Drosophila melanogaster: one gene and its partner. The protein of the gene in region 1 purifies or fractionates together with the protein of each later gene. This does not show direct contact. Each region holds a gene or a part of one and is shown in the gene's direction. Other genes may lie near its edges.

Region 1 (4,453 bases):
CCATATATGAATTTATATGAATGAAGTATATAAAAAAAACAATATTTTAATTTAAAACAAAAACAAACTAAATGTGCTGACCAAAGTTGGGATTGAACCGCAACCACCAGCTGTCTAGACAGACACTTTAGACAGCTTGACTACAGACTTCCTTGCATATATTTGTTGTACACGTTTCTGACTGACATAGTTTAATAGCTATGAAACTCAGCTCGACCAGCAGATGGCGTTTCGTAGCTGCTGCGACTTCACACAATGTTCGCTAGATGTCGCCGATATAATTTTAGTACAAAGTAGAATAGCGCCATCATCATTACCGGCCAAATATGGAACTTTATAAAACGCAATAGCATACTTTTAGGCTATAAATATAAAAAAAATTACAAATAAATTACATTGGGTAAGAATTTTCTTGCTCCTGAACAGTTACTTAGCTCTTAAAGAGATGAGCAATATTGAAAAGCAGATTTTCGGTAATCCCTTAAGCAACACACTCTGCATCGTACCTTCGATAAGTTTTGGCCAGCGAAACTTGGCAATCCTTTGCGGATGCAATTTGGAATTAATTATGGCCCGCTTGCTTGCCACTTGCCACTTGGCCGGGAACTTTTTGGGGGGCGAGCGGAGAACGGCCGACGCAGCCGCAACTTCGGACCAGCTTGTGCTGAGGTTACAAATTCTCATATGTCGCCACACACACAGGACGAAATGTGATGGACAGAAGGACATTTGGGGGCGAGGAGGTTTGGGTGGATTGGAAGCAGTTGACACAAGAGCATTTAACGCTTCAGCACGTTTTCAATTCAATTTCCACATCTTGAAGGCTGCGCCAAGGAAGCCGAGGCGTTGGAGCGTGCGAAAACTTAAGCAGACGCACCGAGCATGACAAACGAGGCTAAGGACAATGCCGGCAGGATAATGATAATGAAAGCGAATCGTGGGCGCTGCAAGACGACGGGCGTGGCCGGATAAAAAACGGAAGCTAGTGCTGCTTAATGAAGATGCCTGCAGTGGCAGCCTTGCAATAAATCAACAAATTACGCGGCAAGGGCTGACTAGGGGATTGTATCTCGCAGATACCGAGATACTTGGCCATATTTGTGCGCAGAAACAATAAGTGAACCGCTTAAAAATGCATAAATCAAGGCCCAAAACGCAGCCAAGGGAACTGAAACAAAAGCGAAGCGAGAAGCAACTGTCAAAATGATAATCGCCAACAACTGTTGAGGCTGTCTTGGCCTTATGACAAATGTTGTCGTCTCGAAAAGGGGGTGTGTGTGTGTGTGTTTCCTAAAACACCACCCACCACGCACTGGCCGAAATCAATGTTTGAAAAACACATTTTACTTATTAGTTTCGCTATGTTTGCGGAGGACAGGGTCACTCAAAATAGCGCATCATAATGGGACAGAGCAGAACTGAACGATTTCGATTCCGATCCATCCATGTCGGTCATAATCGTAAAAACAAATGCAAAACGCAAAAGCCAAATTCCTGACAGCACATTCCCCCAATTGTCAACCCCTTAATCCACTTGTTTTCCAAAACCCATAATCCTCTCTTTGACGGCTGCCCATTATCATAATCTTATTGTTGGTGGTGGTGGAGATTCCAGTCCAGCCCAGCTGACCATTTGCTGAAACACTTTTCGACATCTTTTTGAGTATTTTACTATGGGATGCAATCTCAAAATCGGATTATCAGCGGTCATGAAAACAGTCTTGGCAATTAATCATTGCTTAAGTAAACATAAATAGTAAATATGATTAGTATGGCAACAGTGACGGAATAATTGATTGGTAGATGAAATAAATTCACTTATGAACAAAACTTTTAGTATCTCTTTCTTAGCTCAAAGAAATATCGATATAATAAGTCAGTTGATAATGGTGAGACCTAACTTGAAGCTTTAAATTCGAGTTCTTGCGTCTATCACTTTCGTTTTTATGGTATTACTATCACAGAAGTTAGAGAGATATATAAATTATAAGCCTTCATTTTAATTCTTAACGTATTATACAAAATGGGTGAATTGCAAGCGGGAAAATCGCCCTTTAAGACAAGAAACACCTTTGATGAAAACTTAAAGATCTGGAGTGGTGGCGAAAAACGCAGTTTATTCTCACCAGATTTGTCCATTGGAGAAATTATCTTTCAACAAATGGAGCGCAATGCTATGCTCACTGCCCAGGTACTTAATAAATTTACAAGAAACAATATTTATATTCATCGAAACAAAACCTTTAGATTTCAGTTACAGAAAACACTGAGCTGACCTGGAAAGACATCCAGACAAACGCGATGAAGGTGGCAAGTTATATGCGTAAACTGGGTCTGGAGCAAGGTGACTTTGTGGGAGTCATTGGCAGGTTGACCACTCACTTGACTGCTCTGGCCTATGCCTGTTTCTTTAATGGAACTCCTTATCATGCCCTACACACCGAATACGAACAATCTGCCATCGAGAGACTGTTCGGAATAACCAAGCCACGCTTAATCTTCTGTGATGGAGATGAGTTTGAGAAAGTTCAAGCAGCCACCAAAGGCCTTCAGGTACAAATAGTAACCATGCGTAATCACCCGGCAGGAATATTGAGAATTCAGGATATTTTAACCACTCCCGTGGAGATGAACTTTCGACCAGTGCGACTGAAAGACGGTACTGATCAACTACTGGCCATTCTTAGCTCTTCGGGAACATCCGGCCTTCCAAAGGCAGTCACCATTAGCAATAGTCACCAGATTATTGGGAGTTTTCTGTAAATATTACCACCTTAATTTTATACACCCATCTAATTTATTATTTTCAGACCCGTGGATAGCTCGATTATTCAGTATAACCCAAACACTTTGGATTGGGCATCAGGCATCACGATGACCATCAATGCAGCCGTGTTTAGCTTGACTAGTATAATTGAAGATTGTGACTTTGATCCTGCCAATTTGTGTGGCCTAATTGAGAAGTATCGAATATCGATGGTGTTCGTAAGTTCCTCGCAATTGGCGATGCTGTCCAATTGCCCGGAATTCTATGCGGCGGACCTATCATCCGTGAAGTATTTCTTTTACGGCGGATCAAACTGCTCACTGGAAGTCCAGAACAAAATTCGCAGCCGTCTAAGCAACGAATGTGTAAATTTCAGTTATACACTAACCGAGTTGAACAGCCCCGGATGCCTAAACTTCAACTTCGATGAGAAACCCAATTCAGTGGGTCGTCCGGTTAGAGGCATTCAAATCAAAATAGTCAACGAGCTGGGTGAAGCACAAGGACCCAATGTCGTGGGCGAGATATGCTTCAATAATGGTCAGAAATGGCCTGGTTACTACAAGAATCCGGAAGAAACGAAGAAGATGCAGGACTCGGAGAACTGGTTTCACACCGGGGACCTGGGCTACATGGACGAGGATGGATATTTGTTCATTATCGATCGCTTGAAGGATATGCTCAAGTATCAGACCATCATGTATTACCCCAGCGAGATTGAAAGTGTCATCGCTGAAATGCCAAATGTTGTGGAAGCTTGTGTCTTTGGCATTTGGGATCCCGTTTATGGAGATAAGGCAGCCGCTTCAGTGGTCAAGAAACAAGGAACCCAACTAGAGGCCCAGGATGTTGTGGAGTATGTGAGGAAACGTATACCTGCCAAATTTAAGCAGTTGAATGGAGGAGCTTTGATTGTGGATCACATTATTCAGAGTGGCAATAGAAAAGCAAACAGAGCGGCCACAAAAGCTGAGTTTTTACGAATTATGGAGAAGAATTAGTTTTGCATATTTAATTATTGTAATGTTTATGTTGTATTTGTATTTTTATTGTATTTGTATTTGTATTTGTTGTATTTATCGTAAGCTTTTTAAGAGGTTCGCCATCTTAGGCATTTTTTCATATTCGCCGAGTAAAATAATACCGAAACACATATCGATTACAAAATCGTTAATACAGCTGATCTTTCGTAATTATGTACATTATTGCTGTGAAATAGCATTGCTGATACGAGGGGTTATAATAGCATAATTTACTTAAAAACTAATAATCGACTCAGCATTTTCTTATAATGGCTGAAATGGAAGTAAAACAAAAACTATTGAACGCGATGTGCACTTATGATGATAAACTCAAGATCTGGAGTGGTCGTGAAGCACCAAGTTTATTTTCGCCAAACTTATCAATCGGAGAGATAATCTTTGGGGATATGGTAAACAATCCGAAACTCATTGCCCAGGTGAGTTTCTTTTCTCTCGAAATCAGAGAAATGTATAGATTTGCATTGAACCACCAGATCTCGATCACGGAGGACATCGTACTCACCCGCGAAGATCTTCATATGAATGCGATGCGAGTGGCTAGTTATATGAGGAATATGGGCTTGGGGCAAACTGATATAGTGGGGGTCATGGGCAGACACACGACTCACCAATCAGCTGTGGCATATGCATGCTTCTTCAACGG
Region 2 (7,674 bases), on another chromosome or scaffold:
ATCAGCTGTTGGCGACCGCACTATTTTGTTTATTCCATTTTGTTTGACCATGTCGGAAGCCGATGAAAAGTGTCACTTGTAAGTAGTTAACAAGTAATATTAATTATAGCGGTTCAATATATATTAATCTCCTGCAGCTGTCGCGAGGTGTCCTTCAAGTACACCTGTCCCAAGTGCAATGCTTTGTATTGCAGCGTGGGATGCTACAAGTCCAAGGAGCACCTTAAATGTTCCGAGGCTTTCTACAAGTCCTGCATTCAGGACGAGCTGACCCAAAACACGGTAACGCAGGAAAGCCAGGAGGACATGCGGAAAATATACGACATACTGAAGAGGATGAGAGAAACGGACAGTGGTTTCAATCCCCAGGAATTTGATACAGATGGCCTGGAAAATAGTTTGGACTCGGATGGAGGCGAGGAAGGAGAGTCAGAAGAAGATGAGGCGGAAGAAAACGTCACCGAGGGGGACATACTGGATGAAGACCTGGAGGAAGACATTGCAACTCGACTGAAAGGCGTTGATATCAACGATGCGGATGAAGTTTGGAGCCGGTTAACTACAGAGGAGCAAGATGAGTTCCAGAAATTGATCACCAATGGAGATATCATGAAGCTTATGCCAGACTACAAGCCCTGGTGGATCAAGCCGAAGAACTCTAAGATTGTGATTATACCTACACCCGAAGAAGCTGCCAAGAAAGAGAGCCGTGTTCCCGAAATTTTCGGGAGCATTGCCAAATTCTCCGATATATGCAAGAAAACTCCGTCTCCGTGCCTGCACTACAATTTGTGGAACATACTAAGCGCCTACGCCTGTGTGGCTCGTTTCTTTGGCGGCGAACAGAGGACCAATGCCAGCGAGGCAGTGGCCCACCTTGTCAATCTCAGCGCCACCTTAAAGTACGGCACCAACTTCGAGGATGCTGAGGACGCTATTGTCTCCGTAGAGATGGAAGCCATCACCACGGGTAATGGTCCTGCCGGCGCGGCTGCAGTTGGAAGTGCTGCAGGAGGTGCCAATTTCCTCGTCGACAACAGGGAGCAGCTGCAGCAGGATGCCCGCCAGTTGATGGCTACGAAGGAGCACAAGTTGGCCGCCCTTAGTGATGTTCTCTATCTGCTGCAGCAGACGAAGGCAATCAGTCGCCGTAAGAATACCCAGGAAGCCGAGTTCCAGAAGCTGTTCGCTTTGGCCAGCGGAAGTGTGCAATTGGATCGCACCAAACTGGCGCAACTGGTTCGCAAAATCGAGTTTATGCTGTCGTATGTGGCGCGGGAAGAAGTCCTTTAAGCAATCCTCTAAAATAAACATTTCAAAATAATTCTGTTTTTATATTGTCCACAAAATTTGGAGCGGTATTGACTATAGATTGATTGTTATTTTATTGTTTTATTTTACTTGGAATTTAAATACAACTATGTATAATTAGTGTACACATTTTGATTGGAAACTTCAGTATTTTAAGGACTTAAAGAACAAATTGGTTTAAGTAAAACTTGACTTTGTGCTAGTACTGTAACTAGTACTTAAAAATATGTACAGATGTCTTAAAAATAAATGTATATCCTAAATACATTTCGGTATTTTTGTATTCGTATGGAGCGGTATTTTCAGCTAGCCGCGAGGTGTATTTGAATGGTCGCGAAACGGTCACACCTCACATAGTTTTTTTAGTTGGCGATTCCAGACACACACTCGAGTTGTAGTGCTTTTTTACGCTATTTTGTTATTGGTAGGTTGTCGCCCTGCTTCGGTATGAACAAGTGCCAGAGACCCAAAGCCAAGGATTATTTAACAACCATTTAAATGCAGTGCAGCTGCAGCAGCAGCAACAACAAAAGCGATCGCAATTTAGAACAGAACATTTCATGTAAACGCGTTTGGGTGTAGCGGAATTTCGCTTCCCGTGTGTTTGTGTGACCTAGCCGAGCGTGTGTGCGTGTCGGTGTGCGTCTGGCAACAACAAAATCCAATCGGCCAGCAAGTGCTCTTCGTACGCTTCGCCTGCTAAAAATTAGTGCACAGCGAAAGCATTTTAATAGCAGCGCCCCAAGAAAACCTTATGTAAGGTGTGCTGGAAAACGATGCAAATATTTACAGTAGAAACGGTCGAGACAAGTTCAATCTCAAAGATAAACGAGTTTCTTGGTTGTTTGGCGGAGGGGGATTTCTTATCGCCTAAGTGTGCGACGTGTTGGTTTAGATGTGCATATACGTATGTGTGTGTGTGTGTGTGGCGCGAGTGCTTGTGAGAGCGCCGTAAAGGTGCTTATCTATCTCCACAAATATGCGAAGTATGCGTCAACCTGTTTGTAAACTTTCTGCTGGCCATTTCCACACGCAAAACACGAAAATCGCACTGAGCCGCGATCCTATATTTATATTTATAGCCGATGATGGGGAAAATCCGTAAGCGCATCGTGAGTCGATGACGCCCAAATCAAGTCAACCCAAGATACAAGATTCCACATTCAGCAGACCCAACATCACCAATCTACACATGTGTGTAGGTGATTAAACTTCAGCAGAGGTTATTATACATATATAAATAAGAAAGCATGTATATAACCGGTCAATGCTGCTGATAACATAACCGTTATTCACCATACGGGTGTGTGCGAGTGGAACTCAAACTGACTGCATTGTTTACAAACAGCTGATGCAGGGAAACTCCACTCCACTGATAAGATACCAAGATTTCCCATCGCCGAGTATGAAAAAATTTAGCTCGCTACACAGAGAGAATTGAAATGTTAAATGTTGTCACACGTAAGGGTCTCCAATACGATGTACACTGCTGCTCTTAGGTTAGACGCACAATCGTTTTTTTTTTAACAAAATCGATCATTTATTTGCATGCTTTTTTTAATTGTCCAAAATGCTTTTCTTATCAAAGTTTTCTGTTGGTCATTGAATTAGATGCAGCTTAAATTTCTTCGTATTGCGTGGACAAGTATAAACTGTTGTATTGAAAAAATATAACAAATAAACGAATAAAGTGTTTTCGAGCTACATTTGAAGAAAAAATGGGTAAAGCTGCTGCTTATTGGAACGTCAAAAAGTAGACTTCCTACACTCGCAAGGATTGCCTAATCGGAACATTGCCAAACAGATAAATCGCAGCTGCAGAACTGTTGATAGATATTTGAAGGTTCCAGAGGCATATGGGAATAACTTCAAAGGAAAGAAAAAAGCACTATCAAAGCAAGCAGAACGCCAAATTGTTAGAATTGCTTCGAATTCTAATTTTCGAATTTGTCCGGAGTAAAAACAAGCGTATCAACTGTTCAGCGTACAATCAGAAATGCAGAACACCTGAAGCGTGTATGTATATTAAATTTCAAATTCAATTTTTGGGATCTCATTTATCTGGGTTACAAAATATGGGTGCATGAGAATTCCCTTGATAAGATGAAACTATTACGGTGGAAAATGTATGCTACACAGAAAGAAAATCTGTCAACATTATCTATTTATCTCAAAAAACAGAAATAATATTTGAAAGCGATACTAAAAATAATCGAATTCAAAATAAATTACAAATATTTATTTATCTTAATATGGTTAAAAATATGTTTATTTTTTAGTTTCGAAGAAAATTTTTTCAATTAAAATAAGACATTACCTTAATATTCCAATTTGAAAATAGTAAACCCATTGGCAGAACACCATGCAAAGTTGCACAATGAGTCAGGGGTGATAAGTCCAGTCTTTATCAATGGGGACACTCGGCGAAACCGTCAAGAAATATGGTCGTTGATAAGGCTCCAGTAATTAAAGTTCTGCCTGTTGCATCAATGTGAAGGAATTTCTTAATTGAACAAATTAGGCAAACAATAAATTTACTCAGAGCCCGTCTCGTTTGGGTTTACTATAGTATGTCGTTTAACAAACGATTTGTTGGTCTTAGCCAAACACTACAAAAATACAAGTTTGCGTATAAACAAAGAGCTTTTTGTTGTTGCTGCTGTGTGGAAGTTGTTTATGTCTGCAGTGTCTATTTACGTAACAAAACTCATATTTTACGATTATTGCGCTTAAGCCCGTCGTATGTGATTGATTAATATTGATTGGAATCCACAGGAAATGTCCCACCACAGCGATGATCAGCTCCTCCAGGCTGGAAGCGATTCCTTCTGGGAGCCCGGCAACTACAAACGCACCACCAAGCGGATCGAGGATGGTTACAAGTGAGTGGATAATCCCCAGGGAGTCTTGGTGCACAGAGAGATACTTTATTTTGCCATTATGTCAGTCGAATTCCTCGACATAATACAATTGGCTTAATATTCAAAAACATATTCGTAGCTGCAACCCAATCGTTTTTCAACGTTTCTGTCATACCAATTGGTATTGGTAACTGTATCTTTTCTGTGTGTTTAGTAGGTCATGCAGTGTCATCACATTGTTTTGAATGCAAACTTACAGCAATTCGTATTTATTTAAGGGAAAAAAATAAGAAAATATAAAGACCTTGGTATAAGCATTGGTCTTAGTATTAACTCAATTTGTTCTACTTATGTGGACATTTCATAAACTTTTTTAATGAGCTTTGATTTCTAGTGATACAATCAATCTTTTTAAGCAAATAGGTAATGGGTTCTCTCTGTGTATTTGCACTGGGCGACGCTGGGTCATTGCCAGCCGAATATATCGACACCCGAAGCCCAAACCCAAGACAAAAATTCAAACCGGTTTGCATTATTATGATTCTTGTCTCATTTCGCCCGCAGACTCTGCAATGACCTACAGCAACTGATTCAGGAGCGTGCCGACATCGAGAAGGGATATGCGAAAAGCCTGCGCACCTGGTCAAAGAAATGGGGTGAACTCATTGAGAAAGGTAAGTGAGCGGCAGGTGGGGATCTGGTGAGATATGGGGATGTGGGTGGCTGTGGCCTGTGGGATGAGACATCATCAGTCGTGGAAGCCTTCTGTTGGCCAACACATTCATTCACGAGCTAAAAGCCCAGTGGAGCATCAAGTGACCCGCTCACGTTGAATTCCCACCACTTATTTGGCCCACTGGCTGTTCTTATTTTCTACATTCTGTACATCATTCTGAGCATTGTTGTTGCCGTTGTGCGATAAGTGGCTTAAGCTATTAATGGTTTTTTTTACGTTTTTCGTTACCTCGTTTTTGTCGGTTGTATTCTGCAAAAGCTGCGCACTGTGGTTCAAAATCGCCACACCAATTTATTTAAGTATGTTAATGAGCGGGGCTGGCAAAGTGTTTGGATTAACTAACATAAACATATGCATACACTCTTCACACTCTTCATTCTAAACAATTAAAATTCGGCAGCGGAAATCTTAAGTTTGTACAAGAGAAAATAATAAATAAATAAAGAATCAAATATCTGTGGGTTTCTGCTTTATAGTAATATACAATTTTTATTTTTTGATATATAAGTTATATGGGTTCTTAAGGTTTTATTACCTTGCTATTGCCTCATATATGTACTTCTATAAGTACACACTACCAAATACTATTTTCGAAAACGGCGGTAATCATCGACTCACTCATTGTTTTCGGAATTGGGTCTTTGACCATTTTTAGCGGATGTCCGGCACAGTGTGCGCGCTTCTTCGTAAAATGAAATCGAGTACAGCGCTTGCGAAGTTGGAAACCGCTTTGCCCCATTGGTACTGTTTGCTTCTATTGCTGCTATTTTCTGTGACCGCCTCTGCACGGAATTCTCAGTGTCCACTTTCACAGTAACCAGCGATGGGCAATTGCAAAAGCGACTACCATCACTTCCTCCGCCTCCGAGTGCTCTTCGAGTTTTCTTATTTGCGAGGAATTTGCCTAGCCGCGTCTAGCCAAAGATACAGATACGAATACGTGTGCAGATACAAATACAGATACAGATACGTTCACAGTTACAGATACGGAGACTGGGAGGCAGAAGCGCTGGACAGTGGCCCATAACTCGGCACCAAAGCAAACCGGCACCAGAGCGTCGCTTGAAATGGTTTCAAAAATCAATGCGACGAGAAAATAGAACGAGTTATTTGTGTGCTAAGCGTCTCAATTTCTATATATCTGTTTGTGTGCCTTTTCACAGGGGGAATTGGGAATAGTGAGTCGTTAGGCAAACGAGTTCCGTGCACTGCCAATTATAAGACGAGCATCATATCAACTTGATTGCCGTGTGTTTGGGGTCCCAATAAAAAATGCCAAAAATGTACGATGTTCCTCCATCGCAGCACCCATACAAGCGCTTATTCTTCGGGCATTTTATATTTGCTATACCTATAGATATGGCTACATATGTATGTTTGTATATATCTTGCGGCTGCGGCTGATTAGATAAACCAAGTACCCGCGGGGCTCACGATGACGTCAGCCGCAAACAGCTCGACAGGGTGACACGCTTGTAATCTGTTGTTAATTGAGAAACGCTAAAAGAGATATATAACGAATGTCTGATTTGTTTCAGGCCCGGAATACGGAACCACGGAGGCAGCCTGGAAGGGCGTTCTGACGGAATCGGAACGCATCTCCGACGTTCACATGAAGATCAAGGACAATCTCTGCAACGATGTGAACAGCCAGATAAAGACGTGGCAGAAGGAGAACTACCACCACACGCTTATGCAGATCAAGGAGCGCAAGGACCTGGAGGATCTGTTCAAGAAGGCCCAGAAACCCTGGGCCAAGCTGCTGGCAAAGGTCGAGAAGGCCAAAGCGGACTACCATTCGGCCTGCAAGACGGAGCGCAGTGCTACCAATCAGGAACGCAATGCCAATGCCGATAGCTCGTTGTCGCCGGATCAGGTAAGGATCTTTTTTGTAAAAGCAATAGTTTAGTTATACATATGTATGTATAACTATTAATTTAATTTATTTATTAATTTTATGCTCACACCACTTCTCATTTCCTAATTAGGTGAAGAAAATGCACGATCGAGTGCAAAAGACCAAAGATCAAGTGCAAAAGTGCCGGGAAAAGTACGAGCAGGCGATTGCCGAAATCACCAAATACAATTCGGTGTACATCGAGGACATGACATCCGTGTTTGAAAAGTGCCAAACCTTTGAGAAGACGCGTTTGCAGTTCTTCAAAGAAATCCTGTTCAACGTGCACTCGTGCCTGGACCTCACAAAAGTGCAAAGGTGCGAATTGAATTTGATTTGAGTTTAACTGATCCATTTAAATAACTTTTACATGACTTACAGCCTGCCCCAAATCTACGAGGAGTTCTCCCACACGATCAACAATGCAGACCAGCAGAAAGACCTAAAATGGTGGTCGAACAATCATGGCATTAACATGGCCATGAATTGGCCATCATTTGTGGTGAGTTTTCTGTTTTTACTGAAGCCCAGTGTGGCCGCTAATGGAAGAACTTCCTATTTGTTGACAGGAATATACGGAGGAGTTCCGTGACATTGCCAAGGGCAACAAATCAAAAGAGGCACTGCCGGCAGCACCCATCACGCTCATCAACCAGCGACCTGTGGCCGAGGATGTGCACGTAAGCCAGTTGACTACCCAGTAGTTAATATCAGACTAAGCCAGCTCTTTAGCAGGAATACCCCCAGACAAACAGCCTGAAGAAGAACACCAGCACCTTGAGCAGTGTCAGCAGCAGAGCGAGTGTGAAGAGCGAAATAGCGACCACGCAATCCTCAGTCACCACATCGGAAGCCAAAACATCGGCGGC

The links.
Region 2: the proteins of CG5568 (region 1) and Synd purify together in Drosophila melanogaster (affinity purification with mass spectrometry, with the first as the bait; one large-scale study listed by BioGRID). This does not show direct contact.

The regions. Positions count from the first base shown.
Region 1 is NT_037436.4:5,869,575-5,874,027, forward strand, and holds CG5568 (uncharacterized protein), read left to right. Parts: upstream 1-1,926; 5' UTR 1,927-2,023; coding exon 2,024-2,191; intron 2,192-2,247; coding exon 2,248-2,759; intron 2,760-2,810; coding exon 2,811-3,768; 3' UTR 3,769-3,944; downstream 3,945-4,453. Other genes in the region: CG18586 (uncharacterized protein), read left to right, coding at 4,059-4,226, 4,284-4,453.
Region 2 is NT_033777.3:20,831,139-20,838,812, forward strand, and holds the start of Synd (syndapin), read left to right. Parts: upstream 1-1,660; 5' UTR 1,661-1,735; intron 1,736-3,258; exon of another isoform or gene 3,259-3,327; intron 3,328-4,086; 5' UTR 4,087-4,089; coding exon 4,090-4,193; intron 4,194-4,736; coding exon 4,737-4,846; intron 4,847-6,446; coding exon 6,447-6,784; intron 6,785-6,896; coding exon 6,897-7,123; intron 7,124-7,186; coding exon 7,187-7,307; intron 7,308-7,374; coding exon 7,375-7,485; intron 7,486-7,537; coding exon 7,538-7,674. Other genes in the region: CG31223 (uncharacterized protein), read left to right, coding at 50-78, 138-1,293.